Coturnix japonica: one gene and its partner. The protein of the gene in region 2 interacts with the protein of the main gene of each other region in a pairwise test. Links are inferred from orthologs where the notes say so. Each region holds a gene or a part of one and is shown on either strand. Other genes may lie near its edges.

What was found. The genes of interacting proteins can lie anywhere in the genome.
Region 1: the proteins of SNW1 (region 2) and BICD2 interact in binary tests that used the Homo sapiens proteins (3 or more experiments, as listed by UniProt). The link is inferred for Coturnix japonica from reciprocal best matches to the Homo sapiens genes SNW1 and BICD2.

The regions. Positions count from the first base shown.
Region 1 is NC_029527.1:4,891,939-4,897,582, forward strand, and holds the start of BICD2 (protein bicaudal D homolog 2), read right to left. Parts: upstream 3,400-5,644; coding exon 3,160-3,399; intron 1-3,159. UniProt on the Homo sapiens protein: Acts as an adapter protein linking the dynein motor complex to various cargos and converts dynein from a non-processive to a highly processive motor in the presence of dynactin.
Region 2 is NC_029520.1:35,702,184-35,707,599, forward strand, and holds the start of SNW1 (SNW domain-containing protein 1), read right to left. Parts: upstream 3,651-5,416; 5' UTR 3,546-3,650; coding exon 3,532-3,545; intron 2,967-3,531; coding exon 2,813-2,966; intron 815-2,812; coding exon 653-814; intron 1-652. UniProt on the Homo sapiens protein: Involved in pre-mRNA splicing as component of the spliceosome. As a component of the minor spliceosome, involved in the splicing of U12-type introns in pre-mRNAs.

The DNA.
Region 1 (5,644 bases), on a different chromosome or scaffold from region 2:
ACTCCTACCAAGCATCTGCTTTTGATATAAGCTACATTTGCTGCTTTCTGAAGAGCACAACTTCAAGTCATCACACACAACAGAAAAAGGTGTTAGGAAACTAAAGAAAGGCAGGCTATATTTTGATGAAGCCCAAGTAGTATGAGAGAAAAAAGTAGGACCCCAGTTGTACTGATGCTCTTTGCCTTTGTAAGCTTTCCACCCATCCCCTTAAAACATACACAACAAAGAAGGCCTTGGCATTAACTGTGATGTACTGATGCATGCTTTTAGAATCTCAGGACAGCCACAGTCTACTTACACACTTTTACGTTATTACAGAAATAAATAATGCATAACATAATCATGCCCCTGCATTCTGAGGGACTTAAATACAAGTCTACCATCACCAATACTGCATAACCATCTAATTTGAAAGTAGCTTTGGACAGCAGCCAGTTTCATATCTAACCAAACAGTGAGCTGTAAATCTAACTGGCATCTCAAAAGCAACTCAAAAGTACTAAGCAAAGCAGACAAGCTCTTTTTCAAGCTAACCTTCCAAGCCACGTTGTCCTACAAATCATCAGGATGCCAATAAGTGAATTCCCGTACAGCAACCTTGGCTCAGGCAGGTTGGCAGCCCTATATTAGCATCCCCACAGACAAAGGCTCACAGGATGATTTCTTAGCTGAACACAGCCTATAGAAACAACTCTTTATCACTTCACCTCCTAGAGGAGACAAATAACAACCGAAAGCATCAACATACAACATGATGTAGTATTTCACTGAGAGTCAGGAGCTAATTCATGTAACTTGAGATAAAAAAACAATGCATTTCTAAACCATAACGTTCAGTAAGGTTTGAAATCAATTTCATTTCACAAAAATAAGCATGGAAGTGAAATAACCAGCAGGTTCACCTGGGGAGACAATTTCTACTTCAGTCTATGTGTCTCAAATGGAAACAACAGAAAAAATGTGGCACAATTACCCTGAGAGGTACAAGATGCAAACCAGCATGTGAACAGATAGGACAAATCTGGGGTAAAGTCTACAGTTCTCCAAGGACTCCAACTGAAGGGTTTGATGAGATGGAGCCTCAGTGCAATGGCAGGACAGCCCCCACTACCACCAGGATGATCCGAATGGCAGATATTGTGTACACACAGGTGGGTTTGCAAAACAGGGTCCAGCTCTAAGGATGGCACGTACACTCATCAAAGGGATAAAACTGTGGGGGTTACAGGTAGGAAATTCTGCCACAATCACAGATAAAGGAGCACAAGGGAGAAGCTGGCCGGAAAGTTGTGCAAGATCTGACAGTTGCAGCAGAAAAGCCTGTACTTTCAACAGCCTCTATTAGGAAGTTCCCACGCTCAGAGCCCATTTACCTATGGAATGAACAGGGCCGCGATATGGGATGCTTCATAACATTAAACAAATTAAAGTATATCCAAATTTACAACACCAAGCAAGACAGGAAATTTTGCTGTGTGTCTGTGCATGACATGGCTTTATGCTATTGATGTCTCTAGATGTAGCGGAGAGGAACAGAACAAGATTTAAGGAGACTGCAATGTCTGTATTCTAAAAAGGCTGCATGAAGTCCAAGTTGAGAAGCAAGAAAAAGAAAGCACCCCTCTTCCTGGCAGCAATTCCCCTGCCTTCCCCAGGAACAATACAATGTAACCTAAGGTGCAACCTCTTCAAACTGCACCTTGCTATATGGCAAGTCCTGTATGCAAAATGCCTCCCAACGTGCTTGGGAAAAGCAAGAAGTTATATAAACAGCAAAGATAAACTCCTCCTGTGACAACATGCTTCATGCATCTGCCGAAGGTTTACAAGTTCTAATGAAGACCAGATTCCTCCCCAGCATCACAGGGAAGCAAGAGGAGCAATGTTCTGCCTTGTGTTGTACAACTATAGAGACCTCAGATTGTTCCCAGAATTGTTTGCCTCCCAGGTTTTGACTTAATTACAACAGGACATGCACACACAAAGCAAAGAATGAATCATTGCTCATCCTGCTATTTTCTTTTTTCTTTTTGGTTTTTGCTTTTTTTTTGTTGTTCCCAAATCTCTTCGAGCCTCTGAGATGTTGTTGTAGCTCTAAAAGAACAAGCAGCAGCTGCCTTCCAGACATTTCCCACCTGAAGGACTAAATTCATGAGGCCCACAGCCAACCAAGGTGTCACCTGTGACTGAGCCACCCTGGCACTGCCCCACATTCAGGCTCCAGCTCAGTGAGGTCACACCAGTCTCCTCACCTTCCCCATGTTGTCTCATCCCACCTACCAATGGGTTTGCTGATTTTCTTCTCCCTTTGGCAAAACCCTATTGCTCCTTCTTCCCAGGACTGTTTCTGACTCCCTTATCTTTTGTGTAGCAACTCTACTTCCAAGGGCTCACGATGCCAACACATTTGTTCCTTCCAGTATTTGCACTGCCAGAATCAAGTCAGTTCCAAGTAGCATTAACCAGAGAACCACAGAACCATTTGAGTTGGAAGGGACCTCTAAGGGTCATCTAATCCAACTCCCTTGCAATGAACAGGGAGGTTCAGCCTGCATTTGGTTAGTAAGAGCACAAACATTTAATTCAAAACAATTCACCTCCTCTGCTTATGCTTATTTTGCTTTTATGATGTTAAACAGAGTCCATCCGACACACAGGATGCAGGAAGTGAGGGCGTTCACAGGTTCAGCTGAATTGATACAAATCCATTTGCGTTTACTTTCCCTTTGACACAGTGTATTTTGATGTTACTTCAAATCCACATCCAACCCACACCAGCAACACCAAAGACCGACAGCACATGGATCACATTGACCAAATACAACCACACACGTCTACATTTTAAGCAGCATCAGATCCTTTGCAAACAAGGCAAGGCCTACATCAGCTCAAAAGCAGCGCATGGTTTGCCTGCATAGAAACAGTCACCAAAATAACCGGAGCAGGAGCAGCCAAGTGAGTCCCACGGGATGCGCTATATGGGCAATGAGCGGCCCCCCATAGGGAGCACTAAGAGGGTGCCTGCAGGTCCGGACAAGGCACAACCACCCCCAGCATGGGCTGTGCTTGAGGCAGCGATGATTTTGTATAAGAAAAACGCGTGTTGTCAGGGCCCCAAGCTCAGGGCTCAGGCCCGTCCCTCCCCGCCGTCCTCACCTCCTTCAGCTGCTCCATCTCGGCACGGATGGTCTCATACTCCAGCTCCAGCTCCTCGTATTGCTGCTTCAGCTGCTGCTTCTCCTCCAGCACAGCCAACCCATATTCCGCCGCTTGAATCTTCTCTCGTGTGGTCTCACCCAGCTCTTGGAAAAGCCTCTTGATCTCATTCCTCAGCCACTCGGGTTCCGACTCCATCACCAGCCGGGCGTACTCCTCCTCCTCCATACCCAGCGACATGTCGGCGGTGCTGGGGGGCACCGCAGCCGGAAAGGCGAATCGAGCGGCCCCCTTACCCCGCTCACTAACAACGCCTCGGCCCGATCCCGGCCACGGTCCCCCCTGTGGCGGCCATCCACGGTGTGAGCGCTGCGGAGCCGCCCCTCGCACGACGCCGCCACCGCCGCCAAACTCGCCTTGTGAGCGCCGACCGCAGTGAAATCATTCAAAGGGAACGGCCGGCCCGGCGTCGCGATGCACGCTGGGAGATGTAGTCCGGATGGTGATGCCACCCCGCTGGGAGAGCAGCTCGCAGGACTACGTTACCCATAATGCACCGCCCGCGGGGTGGGGAGGTGGGGTAGAGAGGAGCGGAGCAGAGCGGCCTCTGCAGGGCTCGGAGCGGCCGCGCCCTGTTGGGCTGCGACTGGAGCGGGGGGCTGAAGGCCTCACATCACCCCTCTACATTCATAATAAACACTGGGTTTTTCTTCTGCCTCGTATATTCTCAGCCCTCATTGTGCTCAGGCTTTACGCTGTAAATCAGGACTCAAATCAAATCAGGACTCAAATCAGGACCCAGCTTTTTGTCCTTCCTCAGAAGCTGTAATTTGCTTGTAACAACTCATTCTTATCCAACCTAAACCTCTCCTGGTGCAACCTGAGGCTATTTCCCCTCATCACCAGTGAAAAGTAAAGCCAAGGTTTGGCAGTAGGTTTCACTCTTTGCTATTGTTCTAAACTGCTCAAGACATCCAGCATTAACTGTAAATATCACTGTTACAAAATTATTTCTGACCAGCCCAGGAAGAAGAGCAGGTTGTCAAAGCGGAGGCTCTTGTGATCATTCAAGGTAATGATGTAGCGTAACAAAAATCTGTAATGACTGAATGAGCACAGCCCGGCCTGTGCCCATGGCCTCCTCTGGGTGCAGCCAGAGGTCACAGCCTATTTCATTATCAGTTATATTCATTATCAGTTCACTGTCTCTAAATTCCATCAGTGCAAAGATGCCGATGAAGGAAGGCTGTGCAGGAGGTAGGGAAGAATGGGAATAACATCTCAGGTTGTTTCCTGAGGTGGGTGATGATCACAGACAATCATACAAGGCTGGTCACAATTCAGCCTGTCCACAAGCTTTGTGTATGGACTAGTAACAAATTACCATTATCTCCTAATTCTTCCCATTTTCTATTTATGAAAAAAAATGACTTTAGCAAAAAAAGAAAATACTCTGGGACATGGATCAATGTTCATATGTGGTGCAGTGATGACCTTTCTTAACCAAAAGACATTTCAAAACAAGAACCTGAAAGTGACTGAAAGCTTCAGATATTCACTGGCAGCTGATAAGCTGAGAAGCAGGTGAACTGCTGGCAGAAAGCTGCCGGAGGGAATGTGTGCATGCAGGGAACAAGCAGAGGAATTACAGATGCTTATCGCAAAATGGAATTCTTAGGATGTCTCAGCATAAGGAGAAAAAAATGCGACTTAGCTTTCAAGATTTGATAGAATTCCTTGGCTGGGTGTGGGGAGCACAGCACACACACACTGCCTGCTGCCTGACCCAAGTGTTGAGATGCCCAGGCCTATCAGTGCTGGACTTTTGCTGGGAGCTGAAGAGGAGGGATGGATGGAGGGTCCAAGTAACGACATGTCTGGCACACCATCTGCCAGGTGTAGCAGGGACCAGATGCTCAGTTTACTTCCTTATTCTGCCATGATGGAACAAGCCTGAGAGGAAGGGAGATTTTTTTCCCCAAAATGTTTCACTTTTTCTTCTTTTACTGCAAGCCTGAACCACCCCTCACAACCACCTACAGCTTCTCATGACCATGAGGCGTAGCTCTTACTTTACCAGGCCTGTAGGTCTGTGCCTACATCAGCCCAAACAGCTACTCTATCTCTTCCCAACTCACCTGTGGGAAAGGACCATGTTTGTGTTTCACCTCACTGCCTGTCTGGAGGAAAACCTTCCCTTTTAAACCACGTCTGTATGCCTGATTGACAAGCAGTAAATGAGCTGCCATTGCTCCGTCTCTCTTGATGAAGTAAACACACCTGTGTCTGGATTTAAGCCAAACCCATTTTCTTTAAGATAAATCATCCAGGCACATGTTTAAACTGAAGCAAAACAAGAATCCACTCAGTCATGTACTGGTATAACTACAACAGAAAAAAACCAACACTGCAGTGCTATTTCTCTTTTCCCCTCCATCTTCATGTTGTAACTTGAGAGGGTCTCAGGTTCTGGTGGTCGCTCATG
Region 2 (5,416 bases):
AATTGCACAAGACAAAATATAACCTCTTTGTTTTTAGAAAGAGCTGCAGATGGGGAATGAATGTTGAATCCCATTAAACTCAGTGAAATTGCTGAACTTAACAAAAGATTTCCACTATATAAACACTAGCAATACTTTTTACTGCAACTTATTTAAAAAAAAACCACAACAGATGAAGAGGAAGGAGTCACAAATACTAAAGTAGGAAACCACAAGATGCATTTCAGTATTCTGAAAGCTAAACCTGTGTTTTCTGACTTCTTAGCCCCTTTTCTTTCTGTATTGAAATAGCATTATCTGTGACCAGGCCCGCTTTCAACTTCTTGCTTTCACAGGAAAGCCCTCTAATGAAAGCTGTTATGCCATCAATTACGTTTTCCTTAGAGACTCTCATCATCTCTATCTCATCTTTTTAATTGCAAAACAGGATCACACGCGTGGCAACAAAATTCTTGCTCATCCTATGCTACTAGTCTAAATGCTCACATCTGTCTGACATCATTTCAGCTCTTAACTTTAAGGAAAACAGGAACATATTTCAAGGAGGTAATTCATTTAATTTATCTAATGCCAAAGCAATGACCACAAGTACATGCAACGTGTGACTTCTCCAGGTGTGTGTCACAATCCACGTCTTAGAAAAAAGCATTACCTTGTCCTTTGATTGTCCTTGTCGAGCAATTGCGTCGTATTTTATTTTTCCTTCTGCATCCACTTGAACAGCCAAAGCATTGGACATTTTCTTCTTTCGGCCCATATCCAATGGATATTGGGCCACGTGAATTTCTGGAAAAGCACCTCCATCTCCAAAATCCTACACACACACAAAAAGGTAGAGAATGACTGAAAGACAAAAACATGGTATAACTACAGAATTGTATAAAGGCTTAGGTTGGGAGGGACCCTACGGATCATCAAGTTCCAACCCACAGGCAGGGCCCACCACCCTCCAGATCAGGTACTAGACCAGGTCATAACATTTGCATGGGTGGAAATGGAACAAAAGAGTGGACTGATTTTAACATGAAACACTGCTAGAAATGCTCTAGCAGCATTACTGTTCTGGCTTGTAAGAGAACAGCTGACTACAGCTTACACTTGTGAAATGGAAATACAAAGACATCCTGCAGGAAACTCTCTACAATTATTCCTTTCACAGAGAAACTTCTTTTATCACTGGCTGGATGTGCAGGCACTACAGCATGACAGGCGGTAAATGATCAAGTATTTAATTCACATGCAGGTTATTAATTACAACTTCTAGAATTTATCTGCAGCAATAAAGCAACCGCTGAAATACACAAAAATTAACCACTAGAGATTTTCATCACAAAACTGCTATTCTTGTAATTTTAGTTATCCTACCATAATTAGGTGAAGAAATTTATAAAGCTTTCCAGCCCTCTCAAGCCTGCAGCTCACAGCTTTACAATGGTACAAATGCCAAGATATCGATTTCCTTATTTTGACACAACTTGAAAACAGGACAAGCAACCAATAGCTTCGTGTTCCTAACAGTTTACTTTTCCTCTTGTTCAATTTCTTGCTTTAAAACTATTTAAGGAGCAGAATAAATGGAAGACCTCTTTAAGCAGACCATTGTGACTCAGTACTGAAGATGCAAACAGAACTGGCACACAATCGCTAAACCAATTTCAGGCTATGGTTTCAAAACCCCAGGGGAAGCATTTTCTCTAATCAACACTACTGTGCCCTTTCACCATGCTGCAATGGCTTTGATTTTGCCCAACAGCAAACCAGGTGACTTGGGTAGCTTGATCCCCACGTATTCACCATGAGACCAAACAGTTAACACCACTACAACAGACAGCATGGGCTGAGACTGGAATCATCGGGCAGAACACTTCTTTCCAGAGCAGCACATATTCATGCTTGCCTCAAGTGCACACTGAAATTCAACTTCGGTTGTTTAAAGTCTTCCATTGGATGCCCCGCATCCAGTTCAACAGTTAGATACAGAATCAGTGCTGAAATATAATGCAGAACTAAATTCAGCCATCTCTCAGGTTTTTCTACATGACCAAATCTATTAAGAATAGATGCTGTTTTTCAATTATGAGTAGATAAGCAGATGAAGCCTATACTTGCAAGCAATTACTATTCTTTGGTTTTGTCTATGAGGCAAAAAGGGAATCTTCTAGAAGTCTTTGAGATGTGCTGCATTTTCTGGCCCAGTGATACTGGAAACCAATAGAACTAAGTTAAGTCAGGTTCCCCCCCCCCCACAGCATTTAGAACAAGCACTCGAACAGTAGCTTTAGTAATGAGCACTGTAAGGAGAAAGCTGAACTATAAATTTTAATACCACATCCTTTATTAAATGCTGAAATTCCATAAAAGTATTTTACTTTAGAGAACCACTGGAACTACTGCTTTAAGTCACCTTATCTAGCACTCCCACATCTAACAAGTTTCTATCACTTAACACCCCCCAAGAGCAGTTACCTTTTGCTACCTTAAGAACACAGTACACATGAGAAGTATTCTCTTCTCTGCTATACACCCATCTACTTATTTCACCTCTAATCCAGATATGTATTTAACAAATAATGACAGAGGGTTGGTATGGGTGTCATTCTCAGAGGGTCACTACATTCAGACCTTAAACAGAAAGGACCACAGTCGTATTCCCACGTTACCATGACAAGAAACTTGGAAATTCTGCATGTAAACCTGCACGATTCTCTGTGATTATCTCAAGAAACTTCATAGTTTGACTCTACTCTGGAAAGACACACTTTACCCACTAACACAGATGTACTAATATAATATGGTGAGTTTAAACACCTACCTCTAACGTCCGCGGTATCCATCCTTTCCGGTAGCCGTATGGGGGAGGCTCCCTTCGTGATGAGACCAGAGCAGTCTGCCTGGATCTCTGCGCCCTCGCTCTTTCTTCTAGCTCGAGCTGGTCTTGGGACAACTGGGTTGGAGCTGGCAAAAAACTGCACGTCCCCAGACAGGCACCAAAAAGACACATAAAAAAACAGCTCTGAAAAAGGCGAATTCCCACAGACGAACCCGTGAGTGGTTCTCCCCAGCCGGACACCCCCGGTCTAAAGCCACACACTCCAACTCCCCCGTCCGGACCCGGCGCACTGCACACCGCCACCCCCGCGCTGCCGGGCGGCGTTCACGTCCCCGCTCGGTACAGCCGGGCAGGCCGCGGAGCCGCGCTCTCGGAGCAGCAGCTCGTAACAAAGACATCCCTCACGGGAAGGAAAAGCCGGAAAGCGACCAGGTATCCCACCAGCACCAATCCTTCCCCTCACAAAACCCGCGTTAGCTCCCCGCAGCACGCAGCGGTGCGGAGGCCCCATCGCGCTCTAGGCCGCACAAAGCGAGCAGCGCAGGCAGCTCCCGCAGGCCCGGCCCTCAGCACACCGCACCCCGGGCTGCTCAGCGACCGTGGGCCCGCACCCAGGAGGGGCCGCTCGCCGGGCCGAGCACCCAGCGCTTCCCCAGACACCAACAGCGACGAGGACGGAGCGGGGGGACAGAGGGACGCACCTGGTGAGCGCCATCTTGCCGCTGCCGACTCGGAGTTAGGCCGCGGGATGGGGGGGGGCACAGGGAAGGACGAGCGCCTCGATGCGCGTGCGCCGCAGCGGGCAGCTGGGAGTTGTAGGCACAGCGTCACAGCGATGGGCGATGGCCTTGGTGACTGAGATGTCACCTTGTGTCCAGGGCAACTGGGAGCTCTGCAGACAAAGCCGAGGATACGAGACTTTGACATGTATCGCTTATCAATAATTGTCACGAGCAGAGCTCATCTGCCATCTCTCCTACCGTTTCCTGTCAGTCATTTCTCAGCAGACTTGGTGTTGTGTGACAGCGCTGCTCCCGGTCAGGAGCCCTGTTCCTATCTGGAGCTGAGGAATGACTTGTTCTCCCTCCTGCAGTTCCTACTTCTTCCTGTGCTGTGATGTATCATCTACTGCTGTGTGGGAAACACACAGCTTTGGGGTCTGTTTTGCAACACAACCTGTAAGGCAAACACAAACTCAAACAGACCATGATCTGGAAGACTGTGTCCAGTTCTGGGCTCCCCAGTACAAAAAAGACAGGGATCTCTCGGAAAGAGTCCAGCGGAGGGCCACAAAGATGGTGAAGGGCCTGGAGCATCTCCCCTATGAGGAGAGACTAAGCAAACTGTTTAGCCTTGAGAAAAGAAGACTGAGAGGGGACTTGATCCAGGTCTATAAATACCTGAGGTGTGGGAGGCAAAGCGGCGAGGCCAGACTCTTTTCAGCAGTGTGTGGAAACAGGACAAGGAGAAACGGCCAGAAACTGGAGCATAGGAAGTTACACATGGATGGGCACAAGAACTTTATAGTGCAGGTGACGGAGCACTGGAACAGGCTGCCCAGGGAGGTGGTGGAGTCTCCTTCTCTGGAGATATTCAAGACCCGCCTGAATACCTACTTGTGTGACGTGGTGTAGGGAACCTGCTTTGGCAGGGGGGTTGGACTTGATGATCTCTGGAGGTTTCTTCCAGCCCCTACGATTCTGTGATGCTGTGATTCTGTGAAGTGGGAGCGGAGGTTAAGTACAGAATGTGTTGTCCTGGAAAACTCCCAGCTCTGTGAGCTGATCATTTCCATGTATCTTCATGTATCCCCTAGTTTGTTCTGGGCTTTGTGTGCACCAGACTTAGTAATAATTCAGATATACCAGCTCTGGTGAATTCTTCTTTGATAAGAAGAAACAATAAGCAAGGGATGGATCTGAGATCCTTAAACCCATTTTTTTTCCCAAGGATATGTATCCCGATATGTATCCTTAGGAAAGAAAGATTCATTCATTTTTCTTTTACCATTATCTTTTTTTGCTTAGCATTCCTGGGCAGGAATGCTATCAGATCTCCACGTGCATCAATTTCTACAAGTTGACCAAAATAATCTGGATGGTGAGTAAAGTGTTGAGGCACTTCATCCTTGGCTTTGCTGTCAGTGGGGACATTTTTAGTTTCATGTGAATACCACAGCTGGTTTTGAGAACACTTCCTTTAATGTGTATTTCTGGTGCATTCCAAGGAGTCTTTTGGGGTAGATTTAGGCTATTAAATCCTCTCCATCTTTTTTTTTTTTTTTTTTAATCTACTTCAGCACTTTCCACATTTGCAAATGCAGAATTAAATGGCTCATGAAATATCTTGTAACAAATGAAGATGACAATACAAAGTAATGGAATAAGCTATTGCTAATATCGGATACCTGTATGCCTAATAGTCACTGCGCACTGTGGAATAAAAATGATCAAAATAAATGACACTTCTTAACTCAAGGGATAAATTATGCCACAGGTAAGATGCTAAACGGTGAAAAAGAAAGAGATTTATCTAGATGGAAAAGTTCAGCAACATCAGCAACCCCTGCTCTTCACATTCTGTTTG